Linked DNA regions of Cricetulus griseus. The protein of the gene in region 3 interacts with the protein of the main gene of each other region in a pairwise test. Links are inferred from orthologs where the notes say so. Each region holds a gene or a part of one and is shown on either strand. Other genes may lie near its edges. The genes, in order: Eef1a1, Arpc5l and Gadd45g.

The links.
Region 1: the proteins of Gadd45g (region 3) and Eef1a1 interact in a two-hybrid assay, tested with the Homo sapiens proteins (2 studies listed by BioGRID and IntAct). The link is inferred for Cricetulus griseus from reciprocal best matches to the Homo sapiens genes GADD45G and EEF1A1.
Region 2: the proteins of Gadd45g (region 3) and Arpc5l interact in binary tests that used the Homo sapiens proteins (3 or more experiments, as listed by UniProt). The link is inferred for Cricetulus griseus from reciprocal best matches to the Homo sapiens genes GADD45G and ARPC5L.

Annotation. Positions count from the first base shown.
Region 1 is NC_048597.1:189,543,827-189,550,504, reverse strand, and holds Eef1a1 (elongation factor 1-alpha 1), read left to right. Parts: upstream 1-2,125; 5' UTR 2,126-2,158; intron 2,159-3,102; 5' UTR 3,103-3,136; coding exon 3,137-3,280; intron 3,281-3,391; coding exon 3,392-3,571; intron 3,572-3,650; coding exon 3,651-3,947; intron 3,948-4,030; coding exon 4,031-4,181; intron 4,182-4,265; coding exon 4,266-4,522; intron 4,523-4,609; coding exon 4,610-4,844; intron 4,845-4,932; coding exon 4,933-5,057; 3' UTR 5,058-5,326; downstream 5,327-6,678. UniProt on the Homo sapiens protein: Translation elongation factor that catalyzes the GTP-dependent binding of aminoacyl-tRNA (aa-tRNA) to the A-site of ribosomes during the elongation phase of protein synthesis.
Region 2 is NC_048599.1:150,269,178-150,275,855, reverse strand, and holds the start of Arpc5l (actin-related protein 2/3 complex subunit 5-like protein), read right to left. Parts: upstream 4,264-6,678; 5' UTR 4,144-4,263; coding exon 3,995-4,143; intron 1-3,994. UniProt on the Homo sapiens protein: May function as component of the Arp2/3 complex which is involved in regulation of actin polymerization and together with an activating nucleation-promoting factor (NPF) mediates the formation of branched actin networks.
Region 3 is NC_048596.1:270,785,471-270,792,124, reverse strand, and holds Gadd45g (growth arrest and DNA damage-inducible protein GADD45 gamma), read right to left. Parts: upstream 3,367-6,654; 5' UTR 3,254-3,366; coding exon 3,201-3,253; intron 2,717-3,200; coding exon 2,615-2,716; intron 2,513-2,614; coding exon 2,299-2,512; intron 2,202-2,298; coding exon 2,091-2,201; 3' UTR 1,581-2,090; downstream 1-1,580. UniProt on the Homo sapiens protein: Involved in the regulation of growth and apoptosis. Mediates activation of stress-responsive MTK1/MEKK4 MAPKKK.

The DNA.
Region 1 (6,678 bases), on a different chromosome or scaffold from region 3:
AGCCTCAGCAACACAGTGAGTTTGAGGCCACCCTGAACTACATCAGGTTCTGTCTCCTTTCTTTTTTTTTTTTTTTTCTTTTCTTTTTTTGGTTTCTCTGTGTAGTTTTGGAGCCTATCCTGGCACTAGCTCTGAAGAGCAGGCTGGCCTCGAACTCAGAGATCAGCCAGCCTCTGCTGGGATTAAAGGTATGCACCACCAACGCCCCAGGTTTTGTCTCAAACAAACAAAAATAACATCAGGAGGTGGTGAGAGGGCTCAGTGGTCACAGGCATTCTCTGCAAAGCCTGACTCTGAGTTGGATCCTTTAGAGCTACATGGTTGAGGGAAGAGAACTGACTCCTGGAAGGTGTCCTCTGGTCCCCACACATAGCTATACACAGCATGTGCATTCACACACACTAAATAATGCTATTTTTAAAAAAATTAAAAACAACAACAGTTTGGGTTGTGAAAACTAGAACTAGATAATAGGTAAGAATCAAGTATCATGTAAATTTGCTTTCAACTCATCCCAAAATTTGTTTTATATTTCAGTTTTTTTCCTTCCTAGCTTGACTGTGGAGTCTTGTCCGGAAGCAAATAGTTCCTTTGCAGATCCCACATGTGGACACCGGACAGTAGGTCCTCAAATGCTCCTTATTAGGTTGGTTCAATAATATCAATTGTTTGTTACTAGGCAGTGATGTTGTACATCTGGAGGAGATCTCTTGAGCCCATAATCAGGTTATTAGGAATAAATACTCTAAGGCTAAAAATGTAGCTTAGTGATAAGAGTGCTTGCCTGGTGTGCTGAGACCCTCGGTTCCATCTCCACAACCCCATATTCCATTACAAAATACCTTTTCACCGTCCCTAGCATTAAGAAACAAAACAACAAAGAAGTTTTTCTTTCTTCTGAGATCCTGCCCGGAGAGGCATTTAAAACTGGCCAGGGCCAAAAAAAAAAAAAAAAAAAAAGAAAAAAAAGAAAAGAAAACAGGCTAGGGCCGGCATGGTGGCGCACGCCTTTAATCCCAGCACGCAGGAGGCAGAGGCAGGGCGGATCTCTGTGAGTTTGAGGTCAGCCTGGTCTACCTAGTGAGTTTCAGGGCACCCAGGGCTAAAGAGACTGTCTCAAAAACAAAACAGCCACACAATCAGAACCACAGCAAAACGCAGTTATGATCCTTGGAACTGTAGGAATGACAAGCATTTAAATAATAGGACGAGCCATTTTTGAGAAGCTCTGATTTCACAAGTGTCAGGGATGGGCTCTGGGCGAGTAAGATTGCTAATGCTGGCCTCTAAATGAGACCACGTGGAGTTGATTAGATTCTTTTCATGTTCCTCGTGCTCTATCAAATAACTGTACCCAAATACACACACACACACACACACACACAATGCGCGCACACACAAAATCCTTTTTTAGCTTAAGAAGCCCAGAATCAGAAGTAAAGCTAACTGTGGGACTTAAGTATTATTCTGAACGGAACTCCCAGGGCGTGAAGCGCGCTTCAGGCTTCCAGAGAAGCAGCTGGCGCTGGATGGAATGAACCAAGAGGCCAGCACAGGGGCAGATCCGTCGAGCTCTCGGCCACCGAGCTGAGCCCTTAGGTTCTGGGGCTGGGAAGGGTCCCTAGGATTGTGCACCTCTCCCGCGGGGGACAAGCAGGGGGATGGCGGGGCTGACGTCGGGAGGTGGCCTCCACGGGAAGGGACACCCGGATCTCGACACAGCCTTGGCAGTGGAGTCAGGAAGGGTAGGGACAGATTCTGGACGCCCTCTTGGCCAGCTCCTCACCGCCCCACCCCCGACTGGAGCCGAGAGTAATTCATACAAAAGGAGGGATCGCCTTCGCCCCTGGGAATCCCAGGGACCGTCGCTAAATTCTGGCCGGCCTCCCAGCCCGGAACCGCTGTGCCCGCCCAGCGCGGCGGGAGGAGCCTGCGCCTAGGGCGGATCGCGGGTCGGCGGGAGAGCACAAGCCCACAGTCCCCGGCGGTGGGGGAGGGGCGCGCTGAGCGGGGGCCCGGGAGCCAGCGCGGGGCAAACTGGGAAAGTGGTGTCGTGTGCTGGCTCCGCCCTCTTCCCGAGGGTGGGGGAGAACGGTATAAAAGTGCGGTAGTCGCGTTGGACGTTCTTTTTCGCAACGGGTTTGCCGTCAGAACGCAGGTGAGTGGCGGGTGTGGCCTCCGCGGGCCCGGGCTCCCTCCTTTGAGCGGGGTCGGGCCGCCGTGCGGGTGTCGTCGGCCGGGCTTCTCTGCGAGCGTTCCCGCCCTGGATGGCGGGCTGTGCGGGAGGGCGAGGGGGGGAGGCCTGGCGGCGGCCCCGGAGCCTCGCCTCGTGTCGGGCGTGAGGCCTAGCGTGGCTTCCGCCCCGCCGCGTGCCACCGCGGCCGCGCTTTGCTGTCTGCCCGGCTGCCCTCGATTGCCTGCCCGCGGCCCGGGCCAACAAAGGGAGGGCGTGGAGCTGGCTGGTAGGGAGCCCCGTAGTCCGCATGTCGGGCAGGGAGAGCGGCAGCAGTCGGGGGGGGGACCGGGCCCGCCCGTCCCGCAGCACATGTCCGACGCCGCCTGGACGGGTAGCGGCCTGTGTCCTGATAAGGCGGCCGGGCGGTGGGTTTTAGATGCCGGGTTCAGGTGGCCCCGGGTCCCGGCCCGGTCTGGCCAGTACCCCGTAGTGGCTTAGCTCCGAGGAGGGCGAGGCCCGCCCGCCCGGCACCAGTTGCGTGCGCGGAAAGATGGCCGCTCCCGGGCCCTGTAGCAAGGAGCTCAAAATGGAGGACGCGGCAGCCCGGCGGAGCGGGGCGGGTGAGTCACCCACACAAAGGAAGAGGGCCTTGCCCCTCGCCGGCCGCTGCTTCCTGTGACCCCGTGGTGTACCGGCCGCACTTCAGTCACCCCGGGCGCTCTTTCGGAGCACCGCTGGCCTCCGCTGGGGGAGGGGATCTGTCTAATGGCGTTGGAGTTTGCTCACATTTGGTGGGTGGAGACTGTAGCCAGGCCAGCCTGGCCATGGAAGTAATTCTTGGAATTTGCCCATTTTGAGTTTGGAGCGAAGCTGATTGACAAAGCTGCTTAGCCGTTCAAAGGTATTCTTCGAACTTTTTTTTTAAGGTGTTGTGAAAACCACCGCTAATTCAAATCCAACATGGGAAAGGAAAAGACTCATATCAACATCGTTGTCATTGGACACGTAGATTCAGGCAAGTCCACCACAACCGGCCACCTGATCTACAAATGTGGTGGAATCGACAAACGAACCATCGAAAAGTTTGAGAAGGAGGCTGCCGAGGCAAGTATTCGAAGGGAAAAGGTCGGGGGGGGTGGAAATCTACCGTAAGCAGGAAATTGTTTATTTAGAAACTAGATGTTTTGAGTGTACTAACTGCGAATCACTGAACAGATGGGAAAAGGCTCCTTCAAGTATGCCTGGGTCTTGGACAAACTGAAAGCTGAGCGTGAGCGTGGTATCACTATTGACATCTCCCTGTGGAAATTTGAGACCAGCAAATACTATGTGACCATCATTGATGCCCCAGGACACAGAGACTTTATTAAAAACATGATTACTGGCACTTCTCAGGTTTGTGAAATTTACTACCTTCTGACCCTTACCTCCAGCTGGAAAGCTTTGTTATTAACGGGAGGTAACTTTTTCTTAGGCTGACTGTGCTGTCCTGATTGTTGCTGCTGGTGTTGGTGAATTTGAGGCTGGTATCTCCAAGAATGGGCAGACCCGTGAGCATGCCCTTCTGGCTTACACCCTGGGTGTGAAACAGCTAATTGTTGGTGTTAACAAAATGGATTCCACCGAGCCACCTTACAGCCAGAAGAGATACGAGGAAATTGTGAAGGAAGTCAGCACCTACATTAAGAAAATTGGCTACAACCCTGACACAGTAGCATTTGTGCCAATTTCTGGTTGGAATGGTGACAACATGCTGGAGCCTAGTGCTAATGTAAGTGACTTGAAGAAGGTGGTTAAATGGAAAAGCTGTAAGGGGGGAGAGATTATAAAACATTTGGCTACTCTGCATTTCAGATGCCTTGGTTCAAGGGATGGAAAGTCACCCGTAAAGATGGCAGTGCCAGTGGTACCACACTGCTGGAAGCTTTGGATTGTATCCTGCCACCAACTCGTCCCACTGACAAGCCACTGCGACTGCCCCTCCAGGATGTCTATAAAATTGGTGGTAAGTAGAGCATTCGGACACTGGACTAAGATGTTTTGAGGTGTGTTCAGTTGTCTTCACCTTATATACTGTAAATGTTTTTAGGTATTGGGACTGTTCCTGTGGGCCGAGTAGAGACTGGTGTTTTAAAACCTGGAATGGTGGTTACCTTTGCTCCAGTCAACGTTACAACAGAAGTAAAGTCTGTTGAAATGCACCATGAAGCTTTGAGTGAAGCTCTTCCTGGAGACAATGTGGGCTTCAATGTAAAGAACGTGTCTGTCAAAGATGTCAGACGTGGCAACGTTGCTGGTGACAGCAAAAATGACCCACCAATGGAAGCAGCCGGCTTCACTGCTCAGGTAAACAAGATAGGTGTCAAGAGTGTAATATTGATAGCAGCATGCAAAACCTGAAGGCAAGATTTAACCAAATGCTGTTTCTTTCAGGTGATTATCCTGAACCATCCAGGCCAAATTAGTGCTGGCTATGCTCCTGTACTGGATTGTCACACAGCTCACATAGCATGCAAGTTTGCTGAGCTTAAGGAGAAGATTGATCGCCGTTCTGGTAAGAAGCTGGAAGATGGCCCTAAATTCTTGAAATCTGGTGATGCAGCCATCGTTGATATGGTTCCTGGCAAGCCCATGTGTGTTGAGAGCTTCTCTGACTATCCTCCACTGGGTAAGTAGAACTTAAGTTTCTGTTGCACTGAGTATTGTTTGGATATGAAATGCTGTATGAACAAGTGCTCATAACTGTTTCTGTGTAGGTCGTTTTGCTGTTCGTGACATGAGGCAGACAGTTGCTGTGGGTGTCATCAAAGCTGTGGACAAGAAGGCTGCTGGAGCGGGCAAAGTCACCAAGTCGGCCCAGAAAGCTCAGAAGGCTAAATGAATATTACCCCTAACACCTGCCACCCCAGTCTTAATCAGTGGTGGAAGAACGGTCTCAGAACTGTTTGTCTCAATTGGCCATTTAAGTTTAATAGTGAAAGACTGGTTAATGATAACAATGCATCGGAAAACCTTCAGGAGGAAAGGAGAATGTTTTGTGGAACATTTTTGTGTGTGTGGCAGTTTTAAGTTATTAGTTTTCAAAATCAGTACTTTTTAATGGAAACAACTTGACCAAAAATCTGTCACAGAATTTTGAGACCCATTAAAATACAAGTTTAATGAGAAGTCTGTCTCTGTTAATGCTGAAGTCATTACTAAGTGCTTAGCTTAGCAAGGTATGTGGATGCCCATTTGTGTTCCAAGGGATTGGACTGTTCATCAGGACCCAGAGCTGAGTTTCAAGGGCTCAAGAGATGGCTTATTACCTGTGGGTGTCTTGAAGGTTCTGGTTGGGACAAATTAGGAATGTTTTTGGCAGACATGGTGACTACCCTTCATCTGGGTGAGTTCAGTTGATTTGTCTTGAGCCTTTGGGGTTTACACAAGTAAATGACATCATACAGTTAGTGTATTGTTAGTGAATATTAATATATGAGGCAGGCTTTGCTCTAGCAATTTTAGAACTAGTTTTCAGGAAAGGGTTCATCTTGTGCATTGGATGTTTGATTCTATCACTTAGAGTTTAAACTGAAAGTGCTCAAGAGGTTTTATTTAGGCTGGGATATAAATAAGCCTTTCTGTAGCTTGTAATGGTATCAGGAATTTAAAAGGCCATCTGGGGCACAAAGATTAAGCAGAAAAGGTAGAAGGTGAGATTGGGGGACTTTGAGTACTTCACACACTTTAATGTGTGAGTGCTTTAGTGCATATAGTACAACTGCCAGATAAGGGCATCCACATCTGATTGTTTGGAAGGCACCTTGTGGTTTCTGGGAATTCAGAATTGGGAGAAAAAGTGCTCCCAACCGCTGAAGCCCTTGGTAATCTGCAGGGTGTTTATTTAGCAGGAGATAAGGACAAAAAGTTATAGTGTGGAGTTGGTTGAGTTGGTAGATGTCATTACAACAGGTGGTCTTAAATTGGGTTAGGAGTCACTTTGAAATACCTGGGCCATAAGCAAAGTGGCATTTTCACCTTTCAGGAGAAACTGGTACACTTATCCATTCTATAGTGCATGCTTGTTCAATTGGGCTGATGACTAAACCGGTGACTAAAGGTTTGTCAGTATAAATGGATGGGTTGTAGGCAGACGGTGAGGAATTACTATACCTGCAAGGAGTCATTGCCTGATCTGCCTGGAAAGGGGCAGGATTGAGTCTCAGAAGGTGTACACCATAGGATATGGAAAAATTTGTCACGCCTAGCATTCAACTTAGTGGTGTAGCGCCACCTACTGGCACTTTAAAAGCTTAGCATAGAGGAGCATGTGTGTTAGGAGCTCGGATGGGATCCAGGGCCTCAAGGTTTGCATGTAAATAAAAGCCCTTTACCAAATTAACTACATACCAGCATACATCAGTCCTTTAGTGTTGAAAAACAGAAGTGAAAGCTAATATATATAGTGCTTGCTTTATTTAAGTCTAGCTGATTACGTGTTTGGTTGCCAGTGTGACTAGTCT
Region 2 (6,678 bases), on a different chromosome or scaffold from region 3:
CTTTCCTAACCTCTGCTAACCTGCAAGCTCTTCCTTCATTCCTCCCTGAGGTGGAGGCTGTCCTGGAACTAGCTCTTGTAGACCAGGCAGGTCTCCAGCTCACAGAGATCCGCCTGCCTCTGCCTCCCGAGTGCTGGGATTAAAGGCACCACCACCCGGCTTATTTACTTCTTTGGTATATAATGTTCTGTCTGCAGGCCAGAAGAGGGCACCAAGTTCCCATTATAGATGGTTATAAGCCACCTTGTGGTTGCCGGGAATTGAACTCAGGACCTCTAGAAGAGGAGCCTGTGCTCTTAACTTCTGAACCATCTCTCCAGCCCAAGAAAACTGCCCACTTTTGTAATAGAATCTGAAACAGCCTACATGCACCTCAGTGCTAGGCTGTCTACCCTACAGAGTTCATGCACAGATGAACTGTAAGAATTCTCACCCTCTCATTCTAAAAGCGAAAAATAGACACAAACACATCCTAACTCTTCACTCAATGCTTCTTTCTAAACTACTAAACAAATAACTTGAAGCCAGCCCCAGTGGTGGTGTAAGCCTTTAATCCCAGCACTCAGGAGGCAAAAGCAGCTGGATCTCTGAATTCAAGGCCAGTCTGGTCTACAGAATGAGTCCATGGACAGCACAGCATTCAGGCAGAGGCAGAAGTCGAAGGCCAGCTGGAGAGAGCTACATGGTTAGACCCTGTCTCAAAAAAAGGGGGGGGTCTATTTTCCAGATCGGCAAAGTCTTACTTTGGCTTACAAAGTGAGCCATGAGCCATCTGTTCCCTTGCCCCACAAACCTTACATACAATCCCAACTCCACATTCACTGCTGAGATCTGAATACCCGGCACACAAAGAAAATTACAAAGTAGGTTATGTCCCCAAAGGTGACACCTATTTTAAACTGAATTACATCAGCCAACTTTCATTCCCTCATGTGAAACACTGGCTTAAGCCAAAACACTTAAAAAACAGAACAAGGAATGACTGTCCAATCAGGACATTTAAAATTCCTGTTTGTGCTGCAATCCCTATGTATAAACAGCTAGCCTCTGGTACAAACCTGATTTCCCAGCTTCCCCAGTAAGTGCCATCATGAAAAGCTGGTCTGTGCCACAAGACAAGCCACTCCCCCACTGTGCTCAATCAGACCCTACCTTATCTATTCGTTTTAGAATTCCTTTTCCTCAGACAAAGAAAGGCTAGTCCTGATACAGCCAATGATAGCCTTCTACCCCATAACTTTTTAACTTGGTATACACTAGGCAATAAGCAGGGTCCCAGAGGCTTAACAGTACATGTGGACTAACATCATTTCACTGACAAAATGGATATGGGGGAAGGACAAGAATGTTAAGTTTAGTACTGCTTTTTGTTTTTTTGAGAAAGGGTTTCTCTTTATATCTTTAGCGCTTGTCCTGACCAGGCTGGCCTCGAACTCAGATACCCACCTGTTTCTGCTTCCCAAATGCTGGGGTTAAAGGTCTGTGCCACCACTGCCAGACAGTACCTGCAGCTTTTTGTGAAGCAATCTTCACAAAAGCTACTGCTGGGTAGAACTGGGGGGGGGGGGGGGGGGGCAACTCTACGATCACACAAAGTTTACTAAACTACCTCCATACCTAGACAGCTTCCAGCACTTTCAGAGAACACACTGTGGTAACTACAGAACCCTCTAGACTGTTCTCAGCCATGACCCTAAAACTTTGATGTGTGTTGCAGGATGCTTAACAGCCTCCCTGGCCTCTACCGTTAAAGTTCCCAGTAACATCCTAAAACTGTGATAAACAAGTGTCACCAGATTGTCAAATTTCCTTGGGGGTGAAAAGAACTATATGAAATCACTCAAAATGGTGCTCTATAGTCCTCTTCAAGGACCAAAAGCTGCTTCACTGAGAAAGAAAATGAGCTACAGTGATAATTTAAAACTGCCAGAGTGGAGGAAAAATCTCCCCAGGGTCTTAGACCCAGGACTAGATGCAGTCACATTTCACATTTCACCTTCCTTTAAAAATCCTCTGGGACAAGAACCTGACTTCTTCCTTTGAGACAATGAAACTGAGCCAGAAGGGAAATTACCTGCTCAAGGTCACAAATCCAAGCCCTCTGTACACTCCATCACCACAACCTGTGGAGAACACCAGATGTGTGTTCCGTGAAGCTACATTGAAGTTGTGAGGCCAGCATAGTTATGTCTATCATTTAGAAAAAGAATACTGAGGTTGAGAAGTATGTGACCTCTCAACCGGGGCTCTGCAAAGTCCACCAAATCTTCCTGTGCTGGTCCTGGGCCCTTCCCCATGTGTCCACGGCCAGAGCGTATCCCTTCACGTGGGAAGGGCTCTCAAAGTCCCTTCTTGCACCAGGGAAAAATACTCTATCTGCTCTTCTACAATGGCAATTCCCACAACAGCGGAGACCACTTCCTCTTAGCCCCCCCCCCCAAACCTCTGCTCTTCTCCAAGACTCCCTCCCATGAGGTTCTTTGGATTGAATGCAATGATCGAAGTCCAACACTTGGCACCTGGAAGGCACTCAATTACTACTTCCATCCTTCCCCCTACCTGCTGACATCTGCTAGGGTTTCACTTCTCATCTGCTAACCTCCCTTCTCCCAATCCCAAGAGGTACATTTTCCACCGTAACAAGGCTTCTGATACTGCCATCTCCTCTCTCTAGAAGCTCTAAATCTAAAGCCTGAAACTGCCTCATTAAAAAAATAATGAAAACAGCTAGCGCCAGGCATTGGTGGCGCACACTTTTAGTCACAGCACTCAGGAGGCAGAGGCAGGTGAATCTCTGTGAGTTCGAGGCCAGCCTGCTCTACAGAGTGAGTTCCAGGACACAGAGAAACCCTGTCTCCGGTAAAAAAAAAAAAAAAAAAAAAAAAGTACCAAGGCAACAGCTGACCAAGCCCCAGTCTCTTCATCAATATAATTAGGATTCTGGGTCAAATGAATCACTCTGGAGCCTTGTCAACAATTGAGTGCCCATAAACCAGTCAATTCCCTGCACCACAATAAAAACCGTTCTCATCACCCCATTTAACCACTTGAATGATGCAGGAAATACAAGTTTGAAATCTCCACGTTTGAAAACACTCCTGTCTGGACGAGTTGTTTTAAAGGTATATTAGAGAACTACGGGGCTCCTCCCAAAAGCAGTAGGCCTGACTTCCCAGGCTAAGTCAACTGATTAAACACCCAGAACATGATTTATATACAGCAAGAGCCTCCAACACGGCCCTAGCAAGTGCGGGGGAAGGGTACACACCATTTGCATAAAGAATAAAAACTTCCTGTGAGATTGTCAGTTCCCCGTGGTGCTCAAGCCAGTTGACAGTCACCTCTATTTTTATTCTTCTGTTCTAAACGTCAGTTTTCTGTGGCCACAAGAGCAGTCATTTCCAGTCGCTGGGGAGTCTCTTTTACACTTGACACTAGCTTTTTCTATGCTTCCTGCACAAGGCAGTTAATGGGAGAGTCGCAAATCACTTGTTGAATGTGGCTCGGCCCATAAAAGCTCAAAACCCAACGTGCTCAGAGGAATGTGATGACAGGTGAGAAGAGGTGGCACGGCAATGTCACACCCTCCCCTCCCCAACCCCCACCCTCTGGTCCATCTTCCCCCCAACAATCCACCCACCTATTTTCACGCTGGGCTGCAATCGGGCCCAAGAAAGCCATAGACAGGCCGCCGGAGGCCCTGGCTGCTCAATGAATCCAAGGTGGCTCACCTCCGGCCCTCCCGCGGATCAGCGGCCGGGCATGGCCCAGTCTCCTGCAAGGAGGTTTGGAGGGATCAAGGCCCATGCACGGGTACCCAGAGGGATGCGGAGGAGTAAAACGAGCTCCAGGGCCGCGCTGCTGAGGAAGGGTAGAGGCCGGGGACGAAGGACCCGGGGAGCTCGGGACTGGTAGAAGCCGGGCGGGGGCTAGGGCTGGGGCGAGAAGGGTGCGTGCGAAGGCCGAGTCCGAGCGGCCTCGCCGGGAAGGATATTGCCGCAGGAGCCCGTCCACCTCGGCGGGGTCGGGGCCTGGCTCGCCAGCCGCCGCCGCCGCCTCTTCCTGCTCGTCAACGAATTTGTTCTCGTCAAACTCGTCGATGTCCACCCGACGGAAACGTGAGGACAGTGTGTTCCGGGCCATGGCGGGAGCTCGGCGGCTGCCCAGCCGGCTAGATCCCACTGCCCTCCGCACCGGCTCCGCTCGGGGGCGGGAAGCCGCAGCGAAGCACCTCCTGCCCTTCTCCACGCGCAGCCGCCGCCGCCCGCCCACTTCCGGGCCACGTCGGAACCGGAAGCTTGTGTGGGCGGGACAGAGGCGCGGATTCGTTTGTTCCTGTTGTGGCTTCCCCTAGCGGTGCCGCGGTTGCTGTGTCTTCCTCCAGGCTACCGGCCTGCGGGCACAGGCAGCACCTCCGTCAGCTCCTGAGGAAGAAACCCTTGAGCTGAGGAAGGAGTGATAGTGAAGCGCGTCGCCTGAGCCTCTCTACCTTGGACGCGAACCGCACTGACCCACAAAAGGATTCCTGTCTGGTTACAGAGAAGTGACTTTGTTAAAGGAGTGAAGGGCTTTATAACTGCGTTAACGTATAACCCAAGAACTGACATGACGCTTGAGGACATCTTTACTTGAAGATGTAGCAACATCTCCGGGCGCTCCGAAAAAAAAGATGCCGTGGTCACCTTTATTGCTGAAGGCCGATGCTGACTTGAAGAGGTGCATTTTAGGAGGCGAAAGCAGCAGAATTCAGAAACCGGTGGGAAGAGTGCAGTTAGTCCAGGAGGCCTAGGATGCTGGTTTCTCCTGATTTCAGCTGTAGGCTAAAATGGGCTTTTCCCATAATTGTACGAAAACTTACTACATTTTCATCTGATAGCACTCTTGTGCAAAAACAGTATTTGAAACATCATGTTTTGCTTTGCCTACTTCCCATTGAACTGTATCTGTAGATCAAAAACTGCCAGGCAGACATGGTGCAAGTAGATGCTGAATAAAGTCTCAGATCCTGGAAGTAGTCAAAACCTACCTGTATATCTGCCCCATACATAAGAAGAAATCTGGGATGCAGGCTGGCCATAAAATAGCAGGAATTAACATCTGATATTATAAAAGATGTCCTTTTTTTTTTTTTTCTTGGTTTTTCAAGACAGGATTTCTCTGTGTAGCTTTGGAGCCTGTCCTGGAACTAGCTCTTGTAGACCAAGCTGGTCTTGAACTCACAGAGATCCTCCTGCCTCTGTCTTCCAAGTGCTGGGACTAAAGAAATGTCCTAGCTTTACAACCTCCCGGCTTATAAAAATGTTCTTGAGACAACATCTTTAAATATGTTTTTAATATTTTACTTAAATGTGTATTTTGCCTGCCGGTATTTCTGTGCACCACATGGGTGTTGTGCCTGATGGAGGACAGAAGAGGGCATGAGATCCTTTAGAACTGTAATTACACAGATGGTTTAGCGCCACCATGTCATAGGGGTGTTGGGAATGGAACCTGGTTCCTCTGGAAAAGCAACCAGTGCTCTTATGTATCAGTCCATCACTCCAGTCTCTCTCCTAGAAAATCTTGGTCAGAAGGAACTTAATATCAGAAATACTGGTTTAACAGGGAAGTGACCGCAAATAATTATGTGAATGAAATAATGTTCTAGCTCATGTCCGTGGCCTTTCATCAGATAGGCTTTTAAATTCATGATATGAAATCTGACATGGTAGTGCACCCCTGCAATCCTGAGGACCAAGAGTCTGCATTAACCAGGAGTTAGTGGTACATGCCTTTAACTCTAGCACCTGAAAGGCAGAGGCCAGCCTGGTCTACAGAGCAAGTTCCAGGACAGGCTCCAAAGCTACAGGGAAAGCCTGTCTCAAAAAAAAAAAAAAAAAAAAAAAAAGAAAGAAAGAAAGAAAAGAAAAGCGAGAGAGAGAAAGATCTGGGAACAAGAACTAAAAAAGTTTCAAGGTGTGTTAGGTATGGTGGATCTCTGAGTTTAAGGCCAGCCTGATCTACATAATGAGTTCCAGGACAGCCAAGGCTAGATATAGCAAGACCTTGGGTTTTTTGGGGTTTTTTTAAATGTTAATTTACGAGTAGGCTATAGGCAATAGTAGCTCAAGCCTTGAAGGTGCCAAAAAAAAGGGGGTGATGGGAACCTATTAGGTGTTTTCAAGATAAAGCCTACAGGATTTGCTGGTAAATTAGATGGGGCATGTAATAGAAACAAGCGATGACTGATAACTTCAACGATGCATTTCTAGGGATGCAGCCTATTGTGGCATACTTACCCAGTACACTGGAGATCCTGGTTTTGTTTTTTTGTTTTTTTTGTTTGTTTGTTTGTTTATTTTTTTTGTTTTTTGAGACAGGGTTTCTCTGTGTAGCTTTGGAGCCTATCCTGGCACTCTCTCTGGAGACCAGGCTAGCCTCGAACTCACAGAGCTCCATCTGCCTCTGCCTCTGCCTCTGCCTCTGCCTCTGCCTCTGCCTCCCGAGTGCTGGGATTAAAGGCGTGCGCCACCTGGGTTTAATCCTAGTTATGTGTTACAGCTCAACTCGGATGGAAAGGTATCAGGCAGCCGGGAGCCAAGGAATATCACAAAGTCATGCCACACAATAAACCTCACACAAGACTTGTGGGCAGGAAGAAACCAGGGTGATGGCTGCATCTGCTCAGGAGAGATATAG
Region 3 (6,654 bases):
GCCCTCTTAGTTCATTTTAATATTAGCATGCATCTATGAAGAAAAAAAAAAGGAAAGAATTCAGCACAAATTTTGGCCACCCTCATCCCCTCCCATTCACTAGCCATTCAAACCTGCATTCCTTCTCTCCCCACCCCCACCCCACTCCCTACTGAAAATTCTTGTCTCCTAAAACTCTAACAGGTGGCCACAAAGTAAGGGCCAGTCAGAGAAAGCCAAGTTTCCTGACCGATTGCCAATTCAAATGTTCTACAAGGGTCTGCCATTCTGCAGTGTTCTGCTGAGTTCATGCATTTCAGGCCACCTTCTGGGGTAATTTGTTTTAACTGCAGCCCACTATGGCAAGAAGTCATTTTTATCAGCTTGCAGGTCTAGTCTGCAAGACTCTCCCACCTAAGAAAAATTAGAGAAAACACCATAGGAAGCAGTAATGATATTCGGGCACAATGTAGCTTAATTGTTTCACCAGAGTTGGTTTCCAGTAGAAACGGAATGCTTCCCTTACCGGAAGTGTCATCCAGCTCCTCCAGTTTTCCTGCTGCCTTGTACAGGCTTCCAGAATGTGGAGTGGAGTTTTAAAAGTGGCACTCAACCGGGAGACCAGCCTCCCTAAGCAATGCTGGTAAATCGGCCGAATGGCCTTCTAAGAAAAACAGCACCCCACCCCTCCCTTCCCCGAAGGCTTTCACGCTGCCGGGCAGCAGAGCTGACAGCAAGAATGCCCCACGTGGGCTTCCCCTGACAAACCCAGACAGCCTGAAACAGGCAGTGAAAGCCAGAGCACTAAACTAACAGAAAAAGTCCTCTCACTGGGACGTGTCCCCCACATCCTTCTCAAAAGGTAATCTTGGCTCCCAAGCGTTTCTCCTCCGACTTTAAAAGGAATTGTGGGTAGCAGCAGCCCTCACTGATGTGGGCAAAGGCACTCGGAATAGGAACTAGCAGATGCCCACCCCACTCAGCCTGGCTCACGCCTATTTGTGTGGGACTGTGCCTCCAACTTCTGCTAAGATACTGCTAAGATTTCCATCACGGCCGTGACAAAATGATGATTCACACTTAAAACGCAGTCGTTGGTGTCATATTTGATATTAATACTTTAGTAGCGCTGCTTTGCCAGAGCAATTAAAAGGAGAAAGTTCCTGAAAGCAAGAGCAGTCCACCCCTATCCACAGGCACCACCGAGGGCAGAGTTGCAGAAGGCAGCTCATTGTATTGGAAGGCGCAGGGCCTCCCGCAAGCGGTTCAGATAAGCAGCTGTCGGAGGCAAGGGGGGGAGGGGAGAAACTGGAAGCAGAAGTCACTGTTATCGGATTGGATTGCAAGCCTTGCGCTCCTGCGCCGGGATGCCTTATCTCAAGTATGCCCCCGTCTTGCAAGTTAAAAATCTTCCTGGAAGGATAAAACAGTACTCGGGCCCCAAGTCCTCCCCCTTACTTCTCGCCACCATCCCCTCCCCCACTGCCAGCCCCAGCAGGCTGTAATTTCTTGCCCAACAGAAAGGTGGTTACAGGTGCCATAAGCTCCATCAACCACCAGAAACACCCTTTACCACCTCCCCCGAGATAGGAATCCCCTGCCCTCAATAAAAGGCGGAAGTTTGTTTCAATGAGTTTATTGTGAAATTCAAAGCTTCCACGATAGCGTCCTTTAGAAAATGAAAGCATTGCCCGGGATCCCTTTTGGGAAAGAGCGGTGCAGCCTGCGAAGTCCGGCTCGCTCCTGCAGCTGGCCACTCCTGTAGCTGTACCAAGTCCAGGCCGCCTGCCTTGCTTTTCCTCTCGTTTCACTGGAAGGCTGCTGAGTCACGCCTGCCTCACTAGTCGGTTCTTCCCGGCCCTGCGGCCAACGTCCCTGCCTAGGCCTTCCTGTGCTAGCAGCCTCTCTGGACAGTGGCAGAGTCCTGGGCTCGGAACAAGGTGTCCCCGCCGCCGCCAGGCCCCCTTCTTGGGAGGCTGCGCTCCTCGCTCTCCAGGCAACACCGCCTGCCAGTCTCCATGCGCACTCGAGCGCCCTCGGAGGGCCACTCCAGAGCCAGCAGCGCGCTAGAGCGTCACCAAGTCGATCAGATCAAGGTCCCTGCCGGGCTGTCACTCGGGAAGTGTAATGCTGGGCACCCAGTCGTTGAAGCTGCGGCTTTCCTCGCAGAACACGCTGAGTTTCTCCAAAGCAGGGTCCTTCCACGTGTCCTCATTAGGATTCTGTATTAAAAAAAAAAAAATTCAGGGGTGAGCCAGGCTGGCCGATGGCCAAAACGGGTGGGGGAAACCGGCGTGGGGAGGCAACAGCAGCACTCACCGAAATGAGTATGCAGTGCAGGTCCCCCGGCGCGCCCGCCTCGTCGTCCGCACCCACGATCGCCGCTAGCCGCTGAACATCACCCACGCGCACGATGTCAATGTCGTTCTCACAGCAGAACGCCTGGATCAGCGTGAAATGGATCTGCAGCGCTATGTCGCCCTCATCTTCTTCATCGGCAGCCAGCACGCAAAAGGTCACATTGTCAGGGTCCCTGCAGAGCAGATGGGAAGAACAAGGTCAGAGCCGATGCCACCCCCAGGTCTCCCAGCCGCGCCAAACCCAATCCCTGCACGCAGGGCCTGTCCATACTCACACATTCAGGACTTTGGCGGACTCGTAGACGCCAGCGGTCAGACAGCCCTGGCGCTGCGCCGACAGCAGAAGTTCGTGCAGCGCTTTCCCGGCGCCCTGCATCCTGTAAGAGAACAAGCACGGTGAGTGGGGACCAGCACGAGGACGCGGCGGAGATCCCAGCCCTGACCTCCAGGTCCCAGCTGGCTCCTTAGCCTAGACCTGCCTGGCGCCAGCATTCCTGCCTCCCAACTCCAACCTGGCGCCCACACACCCGGATCCCCAGTCCCGACTTGGCGCCCACACCTCTGGCACCCTAGTCATGATCTGGCGCCCTCATTCCCCATCACCTAGTCTCGCCCCGGCGCCTGCACCCCCGGTTCCCTACTCCTGATCTGGAGCCCATAGCCCAGGCTCCCCAATCCGGACCCGGTGCCAGAATCCCAGTCTCTAGCTCTAGGAATGAATCGGACGGAGTAATTGTGGCCCCACCGCCTCGGCACCTCGCTGTCAGGCAGGGCACGGCTCCCACCCCACAAACTTCCACCCTAGAAGACCCTGAAAGATCTCTACCCGACAAGTCCAACCCTCGCCACCCCAAAACCTACCTGGCTGTGCTTTCCGGAACTGTATCCTGGCCACGGACTTCTTCCAGAGTCATTGTACGATCCACGGGCAGCAAGTTATCCAAAAGTGAGGAGTGTGGAGGGAACCGAGGGATCCCGAGCGCAGGTAAGGAGCCCCAGAACCCGACCCGCGCGCCCACCACCAGCGAGTGCGCCAGGCACCGCGGCGAGCGCCCTTTTATAGACGGGCCCCGCGCGACGCCGCCAGCTGGCGGGAGGCTGCGCTCCCATTGGCCAGCGCCCGCTTTCTGATGCAAATGAGGCGGCAGGCCCGCGGCTCGTGCCAGAAGGCCACGTGGGGAGGGGTGCGGGGGATGACACAGCCTCAAATCTGCCGCTTTTGTCAGGGTGTTACCAGGCAGACTGGAGCCTGCAGATTTCATCTCGTTTTCTTTTTTGTAAGTCCTTAAAAGGAAAAAGTTAAAAAAAAAAACCAACAACGTTGTTTGCTAATATGATACTGGAATTTGTGAAATGCACGCTTGGAGAATGTAAAAAGCCTTTTTTTGCATTTATTTTTATTGCGACCTTTCTAATTTTTTTTTTAATTTCCAAATTGAGGTTTATGGGGCTGTTGCATTGAAACCGAAACTTAAAAAGTCAAAGGTTTGCAACTGCAGCTGACACCAGGCCAAGGTCGCCTCTAGAACTCAGGACTCAGCGCCTTTCAGGGTCGCGGCTGCAAGGTCTGCGCCGCCCTCCCCCACACCCACACCCCGGCCCCTGTCCCGTCCCGTCCCCCACCCCTGCCCCTGCCCCTGCCCCTGGCAGATCGCTGTGGGGCGCGGGCAGCAGGGACCAGCAGATTGCTGCCGGCACACGCGGCTCGTTTGCATTTCTATACGGGGCACACAAAAGAGGAGGTCTGGCGTGTGGCAGTTCGCAGTGGGGACAATCGACGCTTTCTCTTTCATAGCAACACTGTCCACCTGCCGCCGGGTGGGGTGGGCAGAGCCCCGCCGCGCGCGGGGGTCGCGGGGTTGCCCGGCACGTGGGGGTCTGAGCCGCGTGCCGCTCCCCCGCCCCGGGGTGCGCACCTCTCAGACTCGCCCTGGTTGCTGGGATTCTGATGCACGCGTCCCCAACCGCGGAGAAAGCAGTGAGGCACACAGGGCTACTACTCCGGAAACCCTGAGGTTCCGGGGTTCAGACTCCAGAAGCTAGGCACACGCTGTTCCACAACTCTTTTCCCAGGGCGCCGCCTACAGGCCGACCCAGAAAGTACCAGACTTCCCCATCACCCACCCCATACAGCCAGCCTCGCGCTGACCTCTCGGGGTCTTGGCCCCGGGCAGCCCGGGGCACCGAGGCCCTGTGCAATCTGCGCATTAATTGGATTCAGAGTAGAGCTTGCACTCAGTGCCCCGGGGCTGGAGAGCAAAAGGAGCCTGCCACCCAGGACTGGTGGAATACGAATCCGTCTGTCTGGTGAGACTGAAATACTTCAACTACTTAAAAAGGTTCTTTTCTGATAACGTAACAAATATGAAAGCGATCTTGGGAATTTCCTGAACTTGTCATTTGTCCGGTGAGACCTGCACACACACCACGCTTACAGACTGCTCCCCCGCACAACACGACCCTGTGGGCGCCTGTATCTCTCGTGCTACACGGAAAAGTGTTCTAGAGGACCCCTGGAAGTTCTCGACCTCTGCTGAGCGAAGCCTGAGAGACTGGTTAGGGCAAAGGGTGGACACGAAGTTTGCCAGACTGAGGCAAAAATCACACGCACGCACGCACACACGCGCGCGCGCGCACGCACGCACACAGGGGGTAATTTTCTTTTTTTACTGGAGCGTTCTTCAGGTGGGTGGTGAATGTGTACATTCAGTGTTAACCTGTGAAGTCCTTTAAGGAAGTTTTCCTGCTGCACTGGGAGGCTGCGGGTTTACCAAAGCCAAAGGCCAGGCGAGGGGCCGGTGTCTTGCGCCACCCGGAGGCTGCACTGAGAACTGCAGGTGCAGCGCTGTGGTTCCACTTGTTTTTTTTTTATCTGCAAGGTCTCTCAAACTCTCAAAGCCCCTTCCTGGCTGTCTTAGTGGCATATAAAATGATGGGGAGCCCTGCGTGAATAGAATGCTTCTAAGTGATGAAAACTTAAAGTTGTTGCTCTTTTCAAAGTTTTAACACTTCTTAACTCTCAGTTTCAGATCCTGAGGAAACGTCGGAAATAATAATCCATTTGATATCTTAGCGCACACCTGCTCCTGCCATTCATAGCTAGAAAACTGCTCACTTGTCAGGATGCAGGAAACTGCCCCCAGTCCCTCCCCGATAGGAAGGCCGGTACAGGTTAGTGCAGGCTTAGGTACTAGCGTTTCCAGACCCCGCCCCCAGCCAGTCTGGGCCAGAAGGGATGATTGACAAGCCCCAAAGCTAGTCTACTCCACTGACATTTTAAAAGGATTCGATTACAGGAAACCCTCTTTTCTGCCATAAGATATGGCCCCACACAGCTTTAATTAGGTAAGTCCTAGTGGTCCCAAAGTCCCCATCTAAATTAGGAAAGAAAGGTTTGGGGCCCAGCCGGAAGTCACAGGCAGTATTTCTGAGCTCGTACTCTACAATGGCTACACTCTTACAAAGTCCCTAGACTTTAATAATGTAAGGGACAATGAGTCTATTAAAGGGGAAGTCTCACATTTGCTCCGCTTTTGAAACTCTCTGGAGGGGTGGGGCTATAGCTCCGCGGCGCGTGGAGAGTCGCACAAGACCAGGTCTTAAAAACCATGCATGGAAGCCCAGAGCTGGAGTTCAAGGTCGTCCTTGAACTAAATAGTTAGCACCAGCCTGGTACACCTGTCTCAAAACTGAAGTAAAATAAAAGGCTTAGGAGCACCTGGAATCCCAGCTGATTGGAAGGTTGAGGCAGGAGGATTCCTGAGTCCCAGAGTTAAAGGTTAACCTGGCAAGCCAGAGAGACAATCCCCAATCCCAGTTTCTAAAATAAATAAGTAAATACCCTCTGCAGATGTTTGCTTTATTAGCATATTCTCTTAGTGACTTCCGTGACTTTGTCTGCCGGGGTGGGTATTGGTGGAAGCCCACCTCATTTGGAGGAGGATGGGAGCAGGGCCCTCGGTAATAATTTCTGGAAGGCATCCATTCCCCTTTGCATTTCTCACACTATGCATCTGGACTGTGCACAGAGACTGACCTTAAACAGCAGGGGCGTGCCTCAGGAGACCTGTGCTCAGGACAGCCAGACCAGAGGCTGCAGCTAAGGAGCCCCAGGCCCAATGCAGGTAGAGTTTCTTTGGATAGCTTAGGAAAACCACCATTCATTTATACTTTCTCAAAGTTGACATCTTTCACAGAAAAATGTGGACTCTTGGTTAGTTGGGAGGGCTGCAGTGTGTCCCCTAGGCTAGTAAGTGGCAGGATTGGAGGTTATGGGGTGCTCTGTCTGGGCCCCCGTCTCTGGTTCACCCCCACA